Linked DNA regions of Neurospora crassa OR74A. The protein of the gene in region 1 interacts with the protein of each later gene in a pairwise test. Links are inferred from orthologs where the notes say so. Each region holds a gene or a part of one and is shown in the gene's direction. Other genes may lie near its edges. The genes, in order: NCU00958 and NCU02263.

Region 1 (4,467 bases):
TTGGCAATGGCGAGACCGGGGTTGAGACCCTTGGGGCAGGTGCGGGTGCAGTTGAGAATGGTGTGGCAGCGGTACAAGCTCATGGAGTTGTTGAGGGCGTCCTTGCGCTCGGCGGTGCGCTCGTCACGGGAATCGGCTAGCCAGCGGTAAGACTGGAGGAGGATAGCGGGGCCGAGGTACTCCTCGGAGTTCCACCAGTAGGAGGGGCACGAGGTAGAGCAGCAGGCGCAAAGAATGCACTCGTAGAGACCATCGAGCTTCTTGCGGTCGGCCTTGGACTGGCGATACTCCTTGCCCTACACGTGATGACGTAGGTTAGCATCGATCTGTGCGCGCAGCTTCTTATAAAAGCGTATCCACTTACATCAGGGGAGGGAGTGTCCCTCTGGAGGTAGGGCTTGATGGACTTGTACTGCTTGTAGAAGAGGGTAAGATCGGGGACGAGATCCTTGACGACGTAGGTGTGAGGAAGGGGGTAGATCTTCATCTCAGCGCTGTTGTCGGCGGGAATGCGGCCTGTGGTTTGGAAAAGTAAGCATTCCGTCCGCCCCGAGAGACATATATCTCGGTGGATGCTGCGACATGGACATACACAAGCAGGCGAGGGTGTTGGTGCCGTTGATGTTCATGGCGCAGGAACCGCAGATACCCTCACGGCACGAGCGGCGGAAGGTAAGGGTAGGGTCGAGCTCATTCTTGATGCGGACAAGGGCGTCAAGCACCATGGGACCGGTCTTGTTGAGGTCGAGGGTGTAGCTCTGCATGCGCGGCTTCTCGGTCGGGGTGTCGGGGTTCCAGCGGTAGATCTGGAAGGTCTTGAGCTTGGGGCTCTGCTCCGAAGAGGCCTGCTGGCTCTGGGTAGCACCGTCGGCAAGGTTGGCCATGCCGCGGGCGGCGACGACGGGGCGGAAGGCCGGCCGGGAGGCAGCGGCGAAGACACGGGCGGACGAAGAGCGGAGAGCGGCCATTTTGACGGCGATGTGCGATACTGAGAGACGAGACAGAGACGAGACGAGACGAGGATGCGGAAAAGCAAGCAAGGGAAGCCGCTTGGCGGATGAGGTGAATGCCAGACTACGTTTAAAATAACCGGAACCGGGTTCACAGGCGGAGCGACGGGAGTGAGAGATGTAGCAGTGAGGTGGACGGAGATGCCTTCTACTGTGAGTGGCGCATCCGGGCGGGTTTGGCTGGACCCCCCCGGGCCGTCATGACTTTCTTTCAACCGCCTTGTGTTTCCCGGAACACCTCGGTAGACATCAGCCAATCAGCGCCCACTTATTCTTCAGCGTCCCGACTTCCGACCATGGGGAATGCCCACTAGCCATGCTATCCGGACAGTGTATAGCTGTGAACAGCATATCCCATCCCTGATTGTCGCTCATTTTACATATCTGATTTTCTAGAACCACCGGCTCGTCTGCCACGCTATTTGTGAACATGACAGAGTGGATGAATGTTATATCTGTATGGAGCTTGGTACTAACCATTACAAGTACACAACATACGCCAAACATCCCTGGATTTGCTGCTACTACCTGTTCACATGTGCCAGAGCGTTTCACCCATCTTCGAATGGAGATGTCCCAACTTCAGTTTCTACAGCGCGGTGCCGTGATTGCGCGGGAGCCACGGCACGTCCAGCTTGGTAAGAACTTAAGAAGTTGCTACCAGTAAGTAGGCTTATAGCGAGCCGCTAGCGCGCTGATACTTCCGTTTTCCAGCACTGTTAACCCCAACCCTCTTCCTGTACCACATCGCTATCTAATCCGCAATGTCTGGCCAGTCCACTTCGCGCATCGGATTGACGCCCGGTGCGTCGGGTTCCCGTCGTCACTGCAGTCTTCCCGCTTGCTTTTGCCGGCGATTCCTGTGGTGTGTTGATTGCCCGCAGACACTATCATGATTTACAGACACCTCTCCTTTCTCTAACCTCTCTCTCGACACAGCGGGCCCACAGGGGCTTCGCATGGAACCAAACCTACAGCGTTATCTACTATTGATCCACGATCTCCTTCATTGACAACCACCAGGGGCATACCAATCACGTCTTTCCATCAGTCGCCTGATCCCCCTGGCCGATTGAAAGAGTTTCCACCACCCCCAACCCCCTCCGCAGCCTGGGCAATTGACCGTCCGCCCAAGCAATGGCGTCCCTTAGCGCTCTCCGCATGCTGTCGGCCCCATGTCATACAGCCCGCCTGCGGCCGGCGAGGTCCTCGACCCTGATCATCAGCCCTACCTCCAGCAGCGCGTCGTACCGCTTCAGCCATATCAGTAACTATAACCGACCCGCCGTCGACGGCATGCGATATCTGAGCACATTACCTCCGAGAGTGGGACGACGGATTGTCCACCAGCTCATGACACAAGCTCCATACTCGACGGCCGCCGAGCAGCCTGCCTCCGGATCCGGTACCAAGTTCGTCTACAACATCGCCGCCTCGTACGTCGGCAAGGGCCTCCCCTTCAACCCGTCCACCCACGTCTTCCACTTCAACCCCTACCACCGAGTGTCGAAGCCCGGAAAGAAGGCAAAGTCGGCGCGCCCAGAGTCCGGCCAGGATGCCTTCTTCGTTAGCCGTGTGGGGAACAGGCCCGGCGAGGTTGCGCTGGGCGTAGCCGACGGTGTGGGCGGCTGGATGGACAGCGGTGTCGACCCTGCGGACTTTTCGCATGCCTTCTGCGACTATATGGCGGCTGCCGCATACGAGAACGACAGGCAGCCCACCAAGATTGCATCAGCGGCGGCTAACGGACCAGCAGCGCCCGCTGGTGGTGAAGGGAACACCAGTGATAATGCTCCGCTAACGGCACGCTCGCTGATGCAAAAGGGATACGAGGCTGTTTGCCATGACCCGACTATCAAGGCTGGTGGCAGCACGGCTGTGGTTGGCATGTTGGATGAGAGCGGCACGATGGAGGTTGCGAACCTTGGCGACAGCGGCTTCGTAATACTCCGGCTTAACGGGGTGCACACCGCCAGTGAACCCCAGACACACGCATTCAACACCCCCTTTCAGCTCAGCGTGGTTCCGCCTAGTATGTTGCTCCGCGCTGCGACCTTTGGCGGGGGACTGCTTATCGATCAGCCCCGCGATGCCGATGTGACCCGCCACAAGCTGAAGCATGGAGACGTTGTTGTCTTTGGAAGTGACGGTCTTTGGGACAACCTCTTCAACCAGGACATTCTCCGTCTGGTCAGCAGCACAATGCAGAAGCTCGGCGCTTGGAAGGGCACCGACGCTGGGGTCCAGGTCGCCGAGGACCTGACTCCCTTCACCAAGCTCGACAGCGACGACAAGCCCATTTTCACGCTGCAGAGCTTCATTGCCACGCATATTGTCAGCGCCGCCAAATCGGCGAGCATGAACGCGAAGTTGGACGGCCCGTTCGCCAAGGAGGTCAAGAAGTACTACCCTCAGGACGCGTGGCACGGCGGCAAGGAGGACGATATCTGTGTGGTCGTCGTACTTGTTTCTGAGGAACCGGCGGACATGGCGACGCCGAAGCCACGCCTCTAGAATGGAAGGATGTTTAGGGAATACAGGACAACATCAGAAATCCTTTGCGCAAAGCGACATAGAAAGGGGATAAACAAATATCTTTTTTATTGGCAGCATCCGGGATGGAGAGCGCATTGTATTCTGAAACCGCAACGACCAATTTAGGGATCTTCATATTACATATCACATGTTTTTTTTGCATATCATATCCTCAACAACGCAGAACATATCTTTATGGAGCATTATCAGCGGCGTTCAAATGTCTCTTCCATCGACGGCTATTGTCTCAGAGACAAAGCAGTATGGCACTGGATCGAAGAAAGCATCCATGTTGTCGGATGTCGAGATATTGAAAGAAATCATATATTGATTCGATGTTGTGAATCTTACCTCGTCGGCGACGCTGCTCACCCTTAACCAACGTTATCAAGTGCCTCACCACCCCGCCTCATCATCATCCTAACCCTTAAAACCCACAGACCTGATTGAACTCTCCCCTGAAAGACCGCTCCCGTTCTATCCCATGTCAGCCCCGCAAGGTTGAAAAGGGTACTTCTCCCGACCGCCCCAGGCCTATGTTATGTTCTTCAACCCGCTTCCCTGTGGCTTCCGCCTTGCCTTCCTCCCTTCCACAAAAAAAAAGAAAAAAGAAAAGAAAAACGCACCAAATCATCACCACACCCGGGTCCTATTACCGAGGTCATCGTTAATTCTGTGTTCTATCTACTAAGAGACCCATCTCGACCCGATTTAACATCGGCAGAAGAAGAAGAAGAAGAAGAAGAAGAAGAAGAAGAAGAAGAAGAAGAAGAAGAAGAAGAAGAAGAAGAAGAAGAAGAAGAAGGAAGACCCAACAACCAATAGTTAAAACAGCATAACACTCACTCAGCTCACGGGCCCCGACGGCATAATGGCGGCGCCAGGGCATGTAAGAAGGGAGCCCACAGGATCACTGGCAGAA
Region 2 (4,373 bases), on another chromosome or scaffold:
CGCTGGACACGGTGCGGTTCCTGCAGATGAGAAAGGTACGACACACACACACGCACACACGCACACACACCTCCGTCTTCAGGGCACGCGAACATACGGGCTATACAGCTAGCTATACAGCGGGCACAATACCAAATGCGCCCGGGGCGGGGGGAAAGGGTAATTGAGAACCAAAGGTCAAGGACGAGCATGAACAACAAGGACGTGGATTGATGTATGGATGGATGGACGAAGATACGGTCGCACACGAACAAGACACGCTGACAAGATCACCTTTTTACTTTGTCTGTTTTACAGGACGAATCAGACCCGATCGAAACCACATTCGAGCTCAACGAGACTCTCTACGCCCAGGCCAAGATCCCACCCACGGACGAGGTGTACATCTGGCTCGGCGCCAACGTCATGCTGTCGTATCCCATTGAGGAGGCCGAGCAGCTGCTTGACTCGAAGCTCAAGGCGGCGACGCAGAGCTTGCAGAACTGCGAGGAGGATCTGGATTTCTTGAGAGAACAGATTACGGTACGTGTTGGGCGGAGAACGCGAAGATGGTAGTTCTGTTACCGATCTTGGAACCTTGACTGACCTGAACGATGCGCCATAGACGATGGAAGTTGCGGTTGCCAGAGTGTACAACTGGGACGTCGTGCAGAAGAGGAAAGAGAAGGAGGAGGAGGAGAAGACAAAAGGAAAGAAGAGCGAGACGGCGTCGGACGGTTGAAGAGGAGATTAGGTCTAATACAGAAAGCGAGGAGATAATGCACCATCACGAAATGCCATGGGAGCGAACGACGGTTGAAGAATGTCTAATAGAGGGAGGCCGGCCGAGGTTGCTGCTGGCCGCGATCATGTGAGACGAGGTTCACGATGGCTTGGTAAGTTGGACTTGATTTGAAAGCAACATGATAGCGAACGATACCTCACAGATATTCTGCGTCGTATTACGCTCAGTAGCCATTTGTTCACGAGACAAAGGAACAAGGGCCACGCAAGCGGTTTGTCGTTTTGGAGAGACTGAAGTGGGACTGGCGAGATGAGGTTCGCTCTGGCCTAGGTCAAGGCTACGACCTCGAGAGATTAAAGAGAATTTGAGTTTGGCGGCCTCCAACGCCCATAGCCTCATGATCAAGGCACGATGATGACTTTTTATATTTCCCGCCCGGGTTCTTGGTTGTGATGGAAGTTACTGTCTATCACTTGGCTACAAGAGAGATCGACGCTATGGCTCATTGTTTAGATTGTCACGATACCTACCGCAAACATACACCGAGATAGCCTTACAACGTTACCAAAAGCCAATCCGAGGAGATCACGTGGCTGAGGGGGCGAGTTTGTCTGGTTGAGTTGTAGTGTAGTCGCGGATCGATCGTCGCCATCGTTTATCAAGTGGTGTACATACCCAAGTCTTATCCAGTCGAGACAGTCAGATGGGCGGGGGGCCAATGCGCATGTAGGCAGGGCGCTCGGGCGGCCGTTGACCTGTCTGTTTCGCTGTCAGTGTTTTGTCAAAAGTGAGCCACCCCCGCCCCCCTGGAAACTGAAACCCCTATTTCGGGAGTGAGGAAGCACATCTGTGGTCTTGACCGCCATGACGACGGCATTCGTTTCGGAGACGGGGTCCCGAGTCTTTTGACTCTGTCTCTGTTTGGTACGGCGGCAGGCGAACGGCAGACCAGGCCCGACCTGAATACTGGATGAGGTGCCCTGCGCCAACAGCAGAAAGCAGCTTAGCGGATGGGGCCCCAACGTCGGGTCCCAAGCGGGCAGGCGGCCCCCAGGGGCAGGCGGAATCTCAGGGGCCCCGGCCCTCTGCAACGGAACCCCAATTAAACGATCTCCATCACGGGCGGGCTCCGGCCTCCTTCCCCTTCCTGCCTGCCTGCCTGCCTTGACTCTGTAGACTCAACTGTGTACCCTTTCCCCTTCGGATCAACCCTTTTTGCCACGACTCAGCTGCGTTATCCATCTCCTATAACGCTACCTTACTTTCCAAGTTTGTACACATCATTGTCGTCTCTTCATTGTCTCCTGCCTCAGCTTCATAATACCCAACCCCAACCCCCCCGCTTCAGCCTACCTACCTACCTACGACCTCTACAACACCACAACCGCCAACATGGAGCTTGAACCCAAGTACGACGACTATGACTACCCTACCACCGCGCCCGACGCGCAGGAGGGCCACCCCGGCCATCTGACTCCCCAGCAGCAGGCCCAGGTCACTCAGCTTCGTCTGATGCTGGAGTCTGAGGGCTACACCAAGCGCCTCGACACCCTTACACTGGTATGCAATATGATGCTCGATTCGAGTGGGAGAGACGGAGAACAAAAAGAGGGGAAAGTAGTGGGATAGACAGGTGCTGACACATTCCGTAAACAGCTGCGCTTCCTCCGCGCCCGCAAGTTCGATGTCAACCTCGCCAAGCAAATGTAAGCGCGAAATCTGCCCAGTATCGCTCGAGTTTGAACAACAAAGCGCTGACCATCAAACCCAAGGTTCGTCGAGTGCGAGAAGTGGAGGGCAGAGACCAAGCTTGACGAGACCATCCCTGAGTGGGAGTACCCCGAGAAGGAGGAGGTTTCCAAGTACTACCCTCAATACTACCACAAGACCGATAAGGTACGGCTACCAGTTCTCTCCGGATTTTGCATTCCATCGGCTGCGACAATAGAGACCAGAAAAAGAAATTACACGAGGCTAACATGAGGTTCTCCACCAGGATGGCCGCCCCGTTTACATCGAGCAGCTTGGCAAGATCGATCTGAATGCCATGTACAAGATCACAACAGCCGAGCGCATGCTCACCAACCTCGCTGTCGAGTACGAGCGTCTTGCCGACCCCCGCCTGCCCGCCTGCTCCCGCAAGGCCGGTGTCCTCCTCGAGACGTGCTGCACCATCATGGACCTGAAGGGTGTCGGCCTCACCAAGGCCCCCCAGGTCTTCGGCTACGTCAAGCAGGCCTCCACCCTCTCGCAGAACTACTACCCCGAGCGCCTCGGCAAGCTCTACCTCATCAACGCGCCCTGGGGCTTCAGCACCGTCTGGAACGTCATCAAGGCTTGGCTCGACCCCGTCACCGTCTCCAAGATCCACGTCCTCGGCAGCGGTTACAGCAAGGAGCTCCTCGGGCAGGTGCCCCCTGAGAACCTCCCCAAGGAGTTTGGCGGTACCTGCCAGTGCGCCGGTGGCTGCCACATGAGCGACATGGGTCCTTGGCGCGAGGAGCAGTGGGCTCGTCCCGCCAAGTGGGAGAAGAAGGCTGATGCCCCCGCCGCCGCCCCCGCCGCCGCTCCTGCCGCGACCGAAGCTGCCCCTGCTCCTGCCGCCGAGCCTGCCGTCGCTGCTACTGAGGCTACCGCCCCTGCTCCCGCTGCCGCATAAGAGATGCAATGGGGATGTTTGACGACGGCTTCCAGTCAGAAAGACGGCAGTTCGAAGGGCAAAGCATCACCGAGTCCCCCCAGAATATGGCGTCATTTTTGCCTGTGAGGGGAAGGCTGTTAACGCGGTTTTGCTTTACATGAAGTATCATGGGTCTATATACGCTATGAAAGAGTATTCAGTTGTAATGAAGTCATCATTCGGCCAGACTAGCTTAGTGGCCGTAATGGGGTAGGAGTTGGTTGTGTTTGCAGGGTATTTTCAAGTGCGAGATCGGAAACGTGAATCTGGTTTCAACTTAGCACTGGTGATTTTACATTAGCGTATGTAGAGTCCTCGCGTCTTTGTCGGAGGTGGTCTCTTTGGTATACACACGGATATACAATAGATCACTTGTTTCTGGCGGCCTGTAATTTATCTGCCTGGTATTTGAGTGGTGAAGACATCAAGAAATCTGGCACATTTCAGTTCCCAAAAGTAACCACATATTTGCTTTGATACCCCGTCCATAGACATGGCTATGCCAATACGCCCCTAACTCCAAAAACTAATCGCTTAAAGCCTCTCTACCGAAAGCAAACAGTGTTCCAACAAGCAACAACTCCAACATGCCGGCTCAAACAAACCCAACACTTTTCTTTTCCCGCAGCACTAACGAGTATCGCCAACCCAACCAACAACATTGTCTACCTCCCCTCCCCAGGCGCCGCAACAACACCACTCCCCCCAACACCAGCAACAACATACCCGCCCGCAACCCTCGCCCTCTCCATCCTCGCCACCGTAGCCGGCATCTGACTCTTCAGCCTTCTCAGCGCCTCAACCGCTTTTGCAAACCCATCCTCTATTTCTTCCTGCCTTTCCATTGTTGCACCAGCAGCAGCAGCAGCAGCACCTCCTCCTCCTTTTTCGTTTCCTCCCTTTCCTGCCGTTACGTCCCCGTCCCCGCTCCCATTTCCATCTTCACCTTCAGCAGCACCAGCAGCAGCA

Evidence for each region.
Region 2: the proteins of NCU00958 (region 1) and NCU02263 interact in binary tests that used the Saccharomyces cerevisiae proteins (3 or more experiments, as listed by UniProt). The link is inferred for Neurospora crassa OR74A from reciprocal best matches to the Saccharomyces cerevisiae genes PTC7 and SEC14.

The regions. Positions count from the first base shown.
Region 1 is NC_026501.1:6,576,943-6,581,409, forward strand, and holds NCU00958 (5-azacytidine resistance protein azr1), read left to right. Parts: upstream 1-1,554; 5' UTR 1,555-1,648; intron 1,649-1,724; 5' UTR 1,725-2,147; coding exon 2,148-3,524; 3' UTR 3,525-4,066; downstream 4,067-4,467. Other genes in the region: tca-10 (succinate dehydrogenase iron-sulfur protein), read right to left, coding at 1-296, 365-516, 593-968. UniProt on the Saccharomyces cerevisiae protein: Protein phosphatase which positively regulates biosynthesis of the ubiquinone, coenzyme Q. Dephosphorylates and activates the ubiquinone biosynthesis protein CAT5/COQ7. Also dephosphorylates CIT1 on 'Ser-462', which leads to its activation.
Region 2 is NC_026507.1:3,138,018-3,142,390, forward strand, and holds NCU02263 (Sec14 cytosolic factor), read left to right. Parts: upstream 1-1,416; 5' UTR 1,417-2,116; coding exon 2,117-2,284; intron 2,285-2,380; coding exon 2,381-2,430; intron 2,431-2,496; coding exon 2,497-2,620; intron 2,621-2,720; coding exon 2,721-3,383; 3' UTR 3,384-3,946; downstream 3,947-4,373. Other genes in the region: NCU02264 (prefoldin subunit 3), read left to right, coding at 1-35, 298-522, 605-721; NCU02262 (hypothetical protein), read right to left, coding at 4,070-4,373. UniProt on the Saccharomyces cerevisiae protein: Required for transport of secretory proteins from the Golgi complex. Catalyzes the transfer of phosphatidylinositol (PI) and phosphatidylcholine (PC) between membranes in vitro. Essential for viability and secretion.